2 linked regions of the Arabidopsis thaliana genome follow. The protein of the gene in region 1 interacts with the protein of each later gene in a pairwise test. Each region holds a gene or a part of one and is shown on either strand. Other genes may lie near its edges.

The links. The genes of interacting proteins can lie anywhere in the genome.
Region 2: the proteins of CPK1 (region 1) and AT4G18205 interact in a protein complementation assay, tested with the Arabidopsis thaliana proteins (one large-scale study listed by BioGRID).

What each region holds. Positions count from the first base shown.
Region 1 is NC_003076.8:1,416,055-1,422,242, reverse strand, and holds CPK1 (calcium dependent protein kinase 1), read left to right. Parts: upstream 1-1,688; 5' UTR 1,689-2,365; coding exon 2,366-3,278; intron 3,279-3,395; coding exon 3,396-3,539; intron 3,540-3,634; coding exon 3,635-3,787; intron 3,788-3,948; coding exon 3,949-4,064; intron 4,065-4,219; coding exon 4,220-4,387; intron 4,388-4,538; coding exon 4,539-4,763; intron 4,764-5,114; coding exon 5,115-5,228; 3' UTR 5,229-5,679; downstream 5,680-6,188. UniProt on the Arabidopsis thaliana protein: May play a role in signal transduction pathways that involve calcium as a second messenger. Phosphorylates the Ca(2+)-ATPase ACA2 resulting in the inhibition of its calcium activation.
Region 2 is NC_003075.7:10,071,903-10,075,889, forward strand, and holds AT4G18205 (Nucleotide-sugar transporter family protein), read left to right. Parts: upstream 1-1,808; 5' UTR 1,809-1,947; coding exon 1,948-1,978; intron 1,979-2,060; coding exon 2,061-3,163; 3' UTR 3,164-3,468; downstream 3,469-3,987. Other genes in the region: PUP7 (purine permease 7), read left to right, coding at 1-1,127; AT4G18203 (uncharacterized protein), read right to left, coding at 842-1,018, 1,550-1,597, 1,749-1,757.

The DNA of each region.
Region 1 (6,188 bases):
GATTTTTCATGTTAATGAAACACTAGTACATATAGACGTTGTGAAGTTTGTTAGCCGTGATTCTATTGGATATTATTTCTGTACTAAGAGAGCATTAGCTAAAATTTCTGACAAGCTTAACTAATTCCAATTGTGTGAATCATTTGCATCATTGCTGATATTTCCTAACTAATATTATGAAAGGTTGAGGCTCGTAAGTTTTTTGCTTATGAACACATTTTTTCAAGGTAAGTTTCTCAATCTTCATGTTGTTGAAACATATGATTCCTAGAGTATCTCTACTCGTACCCCTCTCATAAATCATTGTGTTTAAAGCCGAGCATCTGCATGATATGTAAGGATCTCTTGCGGTTCTCTTCTTGAGTCTCCAAACTCCAGTTGAGATCCCTGGTGTTAGCAATATGGATTTTCTCGAGAATATAGTATTTGATGCTAGGAACAGAAAACCTGGTCAGCCAAAGATTGAGCCAATGTAGGTGTCTTCGCGCATTAGTCAGTTAGATGGTTTTGGACTGTTACTTAGTTGATGGTGCACACTCATATATCTGATATAGAATTGTGTTCATGCAGTTGGAGGATTTAGAGGTGGCGAAAAGAAGCATAAAGAGATTCTTCCATTTCCAAGCGCAACACATGATAAGAAAGGTGAGGGTTTTCTTACCTTATTTTCCGGTCAATGGAAGACACACACTTGAATACCGTCATTTCCCTTTCCCACACTTGTTCTCTATTAGTGTCATAAACAGAATGCCGAATAGGTTACTTTTCATTTTATAGTCATGACTAGGAAATTTTGTTCCTCATAGCAAGATATGGAAACAGTTGTCAATTTAATTTCGTCATAGTGAAAAGGATCAATCAAGGAACAAGTACGGAAAAGATTGAGAATCTCTGTAATAAGGATCATCTGTTTTTGGAGGTCCTTGGATGTTTACTTGATCAGGACGTGGCAGAGGCAATGAACAGACTTTTGTCACCAAAAAACGCTGTTGTGATGATTGATAATCTACTATCAGAACATACTGCACTACATCAAACCAAGTCTCATACACATCATAGTGAGCGTCTTTGCCACAAATCATATCTTCTTAAATACTGATTCAAACCACCATCTCTTGATAACAATAGTGAGCTTCGTTTTTGTTTTAGGCAAGCATTCTTTCCATATCAAATCAATAACAGAGTGTCCAGAGATTCATACCGTTCTATTGCAGTAGGGACATCTCATTGGCTTATCTACTGGAAAAAGGAAGGGTGCTTGAGTGTTCCGTTAGGACCAGCAAAAACAATGGAAAGTGGTGATCATGATGTTTAGAACACCAAACTCGCCGTCTCTACAATATTAGTTCTGGTCTAGGTTTTGATCTTCAATAATAGCTGTGGTCGGAAGGAGTAATTAGGGTAAAACATAAGGGCGAAGACAAGAATGTGTAGAGCATGTGATTTGTTCAAGCTTTAACATGTGGATGTCTTATTTTTAATGACTGCTCTTTAATATGTGGGTTTTGTTTGCGCATTTTTCACTTGCGGGTTATATTTTTCAAAAGTAGTAAATGATGGGACCATTATAAAAAGGATGTTATTAGGACTCCAGAAAGGAAATTGATTTTATGGAAAATCACCTTTTTACCTCAAAGTTTTAATATATTACTAATTAAGTACCCTTACATAAGAAGCTGCGTTGCCAAGATTGAAGAGGGTGGTGGACTTTGTAATCAAAGATTAATTAAAAAGAGAGTTAAGACAAATCTCAGCGGAAAACTCGGCGGTGATAGATAATCAAAACAAAAGAAACGCGTTTTTCAAACTGGTTCAATCTTCTTCTTCGTCTTTCTTCATCGTCTTCTTCTCTATACAGACCTTGACTCTCTCATTAAATTAACAAATGTCCCTACGGTTTATGCAAGTGTAGTGCTATTAAACTATCCCTTTTATTTTCCCACCCAACTCAATTTATTTTCTCATTCTTTCTCTTTACTCTTCTTCAGATCTCTCTGTTTCTTTCTTTGTTGTTGTTATCTGGGGATGCTTTCTACTCTCTGTTTGGTTTCCTTCATTGTGACTTTCTATTTTCTGGGTTTGTTTCAAGTCATGATTTTTCCGATACCCTTTTGATTTTTCTTGCTATTTCTCACCTCTGTATAAGCAAGCTCTCTGCTGTTTCTCCTCATCCAAGTTGGGTTTATCAGTTCAGCTGTGTAGAAATTCAATCGTCTGAGAAGTCCGAGGTTTGATGTCTGATGGTTTTAAGATCGAAAGGATTTGACTTTTATCAGATTAGTAATGAGATTAGATTGTTTTTGAGGTTATTGTAATCAGATCTTGATGCTATTTCTGGTGAAAGAGATTTAAGACAAGTTAGGGAATGGGTAATACTTGTGTTGGACCAAGCAGAAATGGCTTCTTGCAATCTGTTTCAGCTGCAATGTGGCGGCCAAGAGATGGAGATGATTCGGCTTCCATGAGTAATGGAGATATTGCAAGTGAAGCTGTTTCGGGAGAGCTTCGATCTCGATTATCTGATGAAGTCCAGAATAAACCTCCTGAACAGGTCACAATGCCGAAGCCAGGGACTGACGTCGAGACCAAGGACAGAGAGATTCGAACTGAAAGCAAGCCTGAAACGCTAGAGGAGATAAGCCTTGAGTCCAAACCAGAGACTAAGCAGGAGACCAAGTCAGAGACCAAGCCGGAGTCAAAACCTGATCCTCCAGCTAAACCTAAGAAGCCTAAACACATGAAGAGAGTGTCAAGTGCAGGGCTTAGGACTGAGTCAGTGTTGCAGAGGAAGACTGAAAACTTCAAGGAATTCTATTCCTTGGGAAGGAAACTCGGACAAGGGCAATTTGGGACGACTTTTTTATGTGTCGAGAAGACTACGGGGAAGGAGTTTGCCTGCAAGTCGATTGCTAAGAGGAAGCTATTGACTGATGAGGACGTTGAGGATGTGAGAAGAGAAATTCAGATAATGCATCACTTGGCTGGTCACCCTAATGTCATCTCCATCAAAGGAGCTTATGAGGATGTTGTGGCAGTGCACCTTGTAATGGAGTGTTGTGCAGGCGGCGAGCTTTTTGACAGGATCATTCAACGCGGTCACTACACAGAGAGGAAAGCGGCTGAGCTCACTAGAACCATTGTTGGGGTTGTAGAGGCTTGCCATTCTCTTGGTGTTATGCATCGAGACCTCAAGCCCGAGAATTTTCTGTTTGTCAGTAAACACGAAGATTCCCTCTTGAAGACGATTGATTTTGGACTCTCCATGTTCTTTAAACCAGGTTTGATTTCATTGTTACTCATCTTAAAAGATCCACTTCCAGATTTGGTCTTTAACGTGAATAGTGTGATCCTTGTCGAACAATTATTTCTGAACTCGATTCCCTTCCTCTTTGCAGACGATGTTTTTACAGATGTTGTTGGTAGCCCATATTATGTTGCCCCAGAAGTTCTTCGAAAGCGTTATGGCCCTGAAGCTGATGTCTGGAGTGCTGGAGTGATTGTGTACATTTTATTAAGCGGAGTTCCTCCATTCTGGGCTGGTAAGAATTGTATATATACAGATAAGAGATTTGTCACTTTTCCTAACTAGGCTCTGAACAACATCTCTAATCTTTTTGTTTCTTTGAACATTCAGAAACCGAACAAGGTATTTTCGAACAGGTCCTCCACGGTGATCTTGACTTTTCGTCCGATCCATGGCCAAGTATATCTGAAAGTGCAAAGGATTTAGTGAGGAAAATGCTTGTCAGGGATCCCAAGAAAAGGTTAACTGCCCACCAAGTATTATGTAAGTTATTTTGATCTGAAACCTTCTCTTCCAGTTAAAGCGCTGTGATTCTCTTTCTGTTAATTCCATTGAGCATAGATTTCACTACATGAATAAAGTGTGTTGTCATGTAGAGTGATCTACCATCGTTCTATCTCTTATGGAGTTGTGCTTCTTCTCAGGTCATCCATGGGTTCAAGTCGACGGTGTGGCTCCAGACAAGCCTTTGGATTCTGCTGTTCTGAGCCGTATGAAGCAGTTTTCTGCAATGAACAAGTTCAAGAAAATGGCTCTTAGAGTAAGCAGCTTTCCGATGCTAAACAAAATTTAAAACCATATAAAAGAAGTTCCTGTCATAAACATAAGATAGCTACATTTAACCCATCTTCCTCTTGTTATGTGGAAAGAAAGAGACGACGGAGATTAAGTTTCTCTCTTTATGCCTTTTTGCAGGTCATTGCTGAGAGCTTATCTGAAGAAGAAATCGCCGGCTTGAAAGAAATGTTTAATATGATAGATGCGGACAAGAGTGGTCAGATAACTTTCGAAGAACTGAAAGCAGGACTAAAACGAGTAGGGGCGAATCTCAAAGAGTCTGAAATTCTCGACTTGATGCAAGCTGTAAGTTTTAACCGGCATACCAGTTCCCTAACTAAGATTCTGAACTGATCTTGTTATCATTCAAACTTACTCTGTTGGTTGTGGTTATATACTTCTGTTTTTGCTAGATATGCAAGTAATCTGGTTTCTCTCTCATGTGTATATAATTCAGGCTGATGTGGACAACAGCGGAACAATAGATTACAAAGAGTTCATAGCTGCAACATTACATCTAAACAAAATAGAGAGAGAGGACCATTTGTTTGCAGCCTTTACATACTTTGACAAAGATGGGAGCGGCTATATCACCCCAGACGAGCTTCAACAAGCTTGTGAGGAGTTTGGTGTTGAGGATGTCCGCATAGAAGAACTGATGCGCGATGTTGATCAAGACAATGTAAGTTCCTTTACACCTTTTATCATCTCATCCTAATTATAAAATGACTTGAATACTTCTCAACAATGATCAAATTTCAATGGATTATATACATTTTACTCATAGGAATCTCACTTATATGATCCTCTTAAATCCTTGCATTATTAAAACTACACTTCACTTACCGAGTTTTCATGTCTGTTTTCTTGGGAAAACTGAGACGATTGAGTATGATTCTTGTTAAACCTAGGGGGATAGTAGAAACTCTCTTTCCTGAGAAACAGTGAAGTAAACCGAGTTTTCATGTCGGTTTTGGATTGATATATTGGTTGAATGTTGATAATGTTGAACATTTGAATTGTTGTATTGTAGGACGGGCGAATAGACTACAACGAGTTTGTGGCGATGATGCAGAAAGGAAGCATCACAGGAGGACCTGTGAAAATGGGTCTAGAGAAAAGCTTTAGCATTGCTCTTAAACTCTAGTTTCTCAGTCTATTTAAAAGTACAAAACTAAAGCCAAGAAGACAAAAGAGTTTTCTGATAATATATACCATTTTGATTATGTTGAAGACATATGCACACAGCCAAGATTCTCTCTTGCCCTCTTTTGGATTCTCTCAATCTTTTGGATGAGGTTTTGTCTTAGACTTGTTTTGGAAACTTTGTTGTATTGTGTTACTTCTTGAGCATATATAGTCTTCTAACATTACAAACCACGATTTCTTGTCTGTAAGTAAATTCAAAGAGTCAAAAAACTTGAACACGATTTGGAAATTTTGCGATAACGATCATCAAATTTTTGTGAGGGCTTTTTCTTGTAAAGCAAAAAGTTTGAGTATTTATGTGAAAATCGTTTAAAAGTTGAGGTACTTCTATGTAATTTCCCAGTTTTCTTTTTTTGAGAAATAAAATAACTTAACCGAATTTCAATTAATTTGTTGTCCGAATTATATAATTCAAGTCCTTACCGAATCTAAGCTGAAATCAAATTAAATTATAAGCAGATAATTAAATTGGTCACCGAAAATAATAGCCACCAAACCTCCTAATCCTAAACACGTAGTATTTTGAGATCTTTATTTTCCATTTACATAATTAATTTCTTTTTTATGATTGGAAAAAACGAATAAAATGATCTTTTAGCTAGTGTTTTTGGTCAACATAAATACCTAACTTACTCTTTAGAACAACAAAAAAAATGGAGGAAAAATATAAAAGTGGGTCTCACAATCAAGTTATTTCTCCAAAAATAAATAATTTAAAGCTTGCGTTTGTTGTTGACATTTAAAAATGTTTATTTTGGGGTACGACTTTTTAATTTATAAAATTATTAAATTGGTTTTATTTAAATAAACTGATTAAATTGTCTATTTCAAAACTGCGTCCCTATCCCTTTTAAATTTCCTAATTTCAGTCCACAAAACGTGATCATGATTACTGTAT
Region 2 (3,987 bases), on another chromosome or scaffold:
AAGCAAACCTTATAGATCATGAGGTGGTAACTGAATCATCATCATCAGCTGTGCCTCAAACCGAGAACTATAAAAGGTGGCTTCGTGTCTCCATATACGTAATCTTTGTCCTCTTTTGCCAGCCACTAGCTACAATTCTGGGTAGATTGTACTATGAAAATGGAGGAAATAGCACATATGTGGTAACACTTCTTCAACTCATTGGCTTCCCTGTACTGGTTCTGTTCCGCTTCTTTTCTCGAATCAGGCAACCCAAATCAACAGATACAAATTTCAGTCAGTCCCCTTCCTTCACCACCCTTGCATCGGTTTACTTGTGCACTGGACTGCTAGTGTCCGCTTATGCTTATTTGTCTGCAGTAGGGTTGCTCTACTTACCAGTCTCTACTTTCTCCCTCATCTTGGCCTCACAGTTGGCCTTCACTGCCTTTTTCTCATATTTCCTTAACTCGCAAAAGTTCACTCCTTTGATAGTCAGTTCTTTGCTTCTCCTCACTGTATCCTCTGCTCTTCTTGTGGTCAACACTGATTCAGAAAACTCAACTAATGTATCTAGAGTACAGTATGTGATCGGGTTCATATGTACCATCGGTGCTTCCGCTGGGATTGGACTGTTACTATCTCTGATACAAATGCTCTTCAGGAAAGTTTTCACGAAGCATACATCCTCAGCAGTCACGGACTTGGCCATTTACCAGTCTCTAGTTGCGAGTTGTGTAGTTCTCATAGGACTTTTTGCAAGTGGAGAGTGGGAAACTTTGCCAAGTGAGATGAGAAACTACAAACTCGGGAAAGTGTCATATGTTTTGACTTTAGCCTCGGCAGCTATTTCCTGGCAAGTCTACACTCTTGGTCTTGTGGGATTGATCTTCGAGTCATCCTCTGTGTTCTCCAATTCCATAACAGCTGTGGGATTGCCTATAGTTCCAGTTGCGGCAGTGATAGTTTTCCATGATAGAATGGACGCATCAAAAATCTTCTCCATTATTTTAGCTATCTGCGGCTTCCTTTCATTCGTCTATCAGCACTACCTCGACGAAAAGAAGTTGAATACTAGCCACACAAGTGCTGTAGGAGATCTTCATCTACCTGTTGAGGAAGGTCACACAAACATACAAAGTGTGTGATCAAAGCATATTTCCAGTATAAAGCCAATGTATCTTTCTTTTTTTCCCCTCAAAGGCCAAAGCCAATGTATCTTTGTACAGTTTGAGCATAAAAAACGTGTAACGCTACTTTGCAAACTAGTCAGTCATAATAGCTAATAAGTTTTGTACATATGATACCAATAATTTCAGAATATTTTTCTTCTATATATACCAATAAGTTTTCTTAAAGATGCAAATGCAATACTCTGCTTTGTAATTTTGCAATGCATTTGAAACACCGAATCAAGAGCAAACAACGAAGTCAGAGAGACAAATAGGCTAAAACAGAGCTTTGAGCAAAAAAAAAAAACAAGTGAACAGATATAATACCCACTTACTTGGAAGCCACTGACATAACAGATAAACAATGTAGTGACTTGCAACAAAACTCCTTAAAATACCAAAAACGTATACTCTAGGAGCTTGGCTTCTTGTATCTTTGTTGACTTCTGATTTAACGTCAATAGACACTGAGGAAAAAGAGTTCTCTTAGAGCCGCCATTCAAAAGTTTTAAGAATTTTAAGTCAAGTGTAAGCAAATAAGAAAGGTCAATGGTCAGCATGAGACTACTAAATTATGATACTGCTGTCATCTATCACCTGACCCATCTTTATTATTATACACAAATTAGTAAAAGTCTGCCAAGTTTGATTAGTGCAACTTGTATCTGGGGTATTTAGTTACTATAATAAATATCATTTTGTGTATAAAGAAAGGTCTCTTCTGTATCTAAAAGACATATCAAACGAAAGAAATCAATAAACACAATATTCTTTCTTCCAAATTTTCTCATTTCTCATGGGCATATCTCAAGTACACTATTGCAATGGTAAGCAAAAGGTACCTGATGACGTTAGATCATTTGATCCTCTTTCGATGAAATATAATAACCACGAGTGTTAATTTTTCAGGTGACCAGAACTTAGAAGCAAACCTTCTAGATCATGAGGAAACTGAATCATTTTCAGTACCTCAAACGAAGAACTGTAAGAGGTGGCTCCGTGTCTCCATATACGCAATCTTTGTCATCTTCTGCCAACCACTTGCTACAGTTCTGGGTAGACTGTACTATGAAAATGGAGGGAAAAGCACATATGTGGTAACACTTCTTCAACTCATTGGCTTCCCTGTACTGATTCTCTTCCGCTTCTTTTCTCGAATCAGGCAACCCAAATCAACAGATACAAATTTCAGTCAGTCCCCTTCCTTCACCACCCTTGCATCGGTTTACTTGTGCACTGGACTGCTAGTGTCTGCTTATGCTTATTTGTCTGCAGTTGGGTTGCTTTACTTACCAGTCTCTACTTTCTCCCTCATCTTGGCCTCACAGTTGGCCTTCACTGCCTTTTTCTCATATTTCCTTAACTCGCAAAAGTTCACTCCTTTGATAGTCAATTCTTTGTTTCTCCTTACGGTTTCCTCTGCCCTCCTCGTGGTCAACACTGATTCAGAAAACACAACAAATGTATCTAGAGTACAATATGTGATTGGGTTCATCTGTACCATTGGTGCTTCCGCTGGGATTGGATTGGTACTATCTCTGATACAACTGCTCTTCAGGAAAGTTTTCACGAAGCATACATCCTCAGCAGTCCTGGACTTGGCCAATTACCAGTCTCTAGTTGCAACTTGTGTGGTACTCATAGGACTGTTTGCAAGTGGAGAGTGGAGAACTCTGCCAAGTGAGATGAGAAACTACAAACTGGGGAAAGTGTCATATATCTTGACTTTGGCCTCAGCAGCTATTTTCTGGCAAGTATACACTGTTGGTTGTGTGGGATTAATCTTCGAGTCTTCTTCTGTGTTCTCCAATTCCATAACTGCTGTGGGACTGCCTATAGTTCCAGTTGTAGCAGTGATAGTTTTCCATGATAAGATGGATGCATCAAAGATTTTCTCCATCATTTTAGCTATCTGGGGCTTCCTTTCATTTGTCTATCAGCACTACCTCGACGAAAAGAAGTTGAAGACTTGCCAGACAAAACCTGTTGAGGAAGAAACACAAACTTTATGAAACAAGTTGTATCGAAGGTCTCAGAAACAAACATACATAGTTGTACACAGTCATGTAAATAACCTATATAAAGCTTGTATGTGTAATATCCGTAATGGTCCATGCAAATGGGATATGTATGTCGCTCATATTTCAGGTATTTAGAACTTTTATTCAAAAGAGTATTGTGTAATACGAGCAGAGTGATAAAAGCAGTCATTTATTTAACAGAAAAACCATGTCAATTTTGTGATACTTTCATTGTGTGAGTGTGAAACCCGATAAAAATTGACCAGTTAGCATAACTTACAGATATGTCAATGCAATATTCTCCTTTCTAGTTTTGAAATGCACCTAAATCTTGGGAAACAAGAACAAACAGCAAATCATGTATAATGAGAGATAGAAGATAATTTGTCAGATTGGTCCAACATCCTTGGGGAAACAGAGCTTTGAACAAAAAGTAAATGACCAGAAATAATACCATTTTATATAGCGACTTCCTCTGCCGTCCAGTATTAAGTTGTTGCGAATGTCTTCTCTTGAAAAGATAGGCGAGACATAATCTTTAGCTAACGTCAGCATCATCTTGATGGCAAAAACTTCATGACTAGCCATGGAAACCGAAGTGTGTACCCAATCCAAATAAATTTAAAAAGACAAATAACTTTTAGAAATGTCGTCCTCATCAAGATCACAGAATACTACAACTTGTGTACACGTTCATACATATGCGTATGCGTGTTAAGTTTCTATTTGTCTATGCGTATGGGGTTCATGTCCTCCACATAGTTGCAGAAGAAAGTCTGAATGAATATTGCCTACACATAATTTCCTCCTAGACT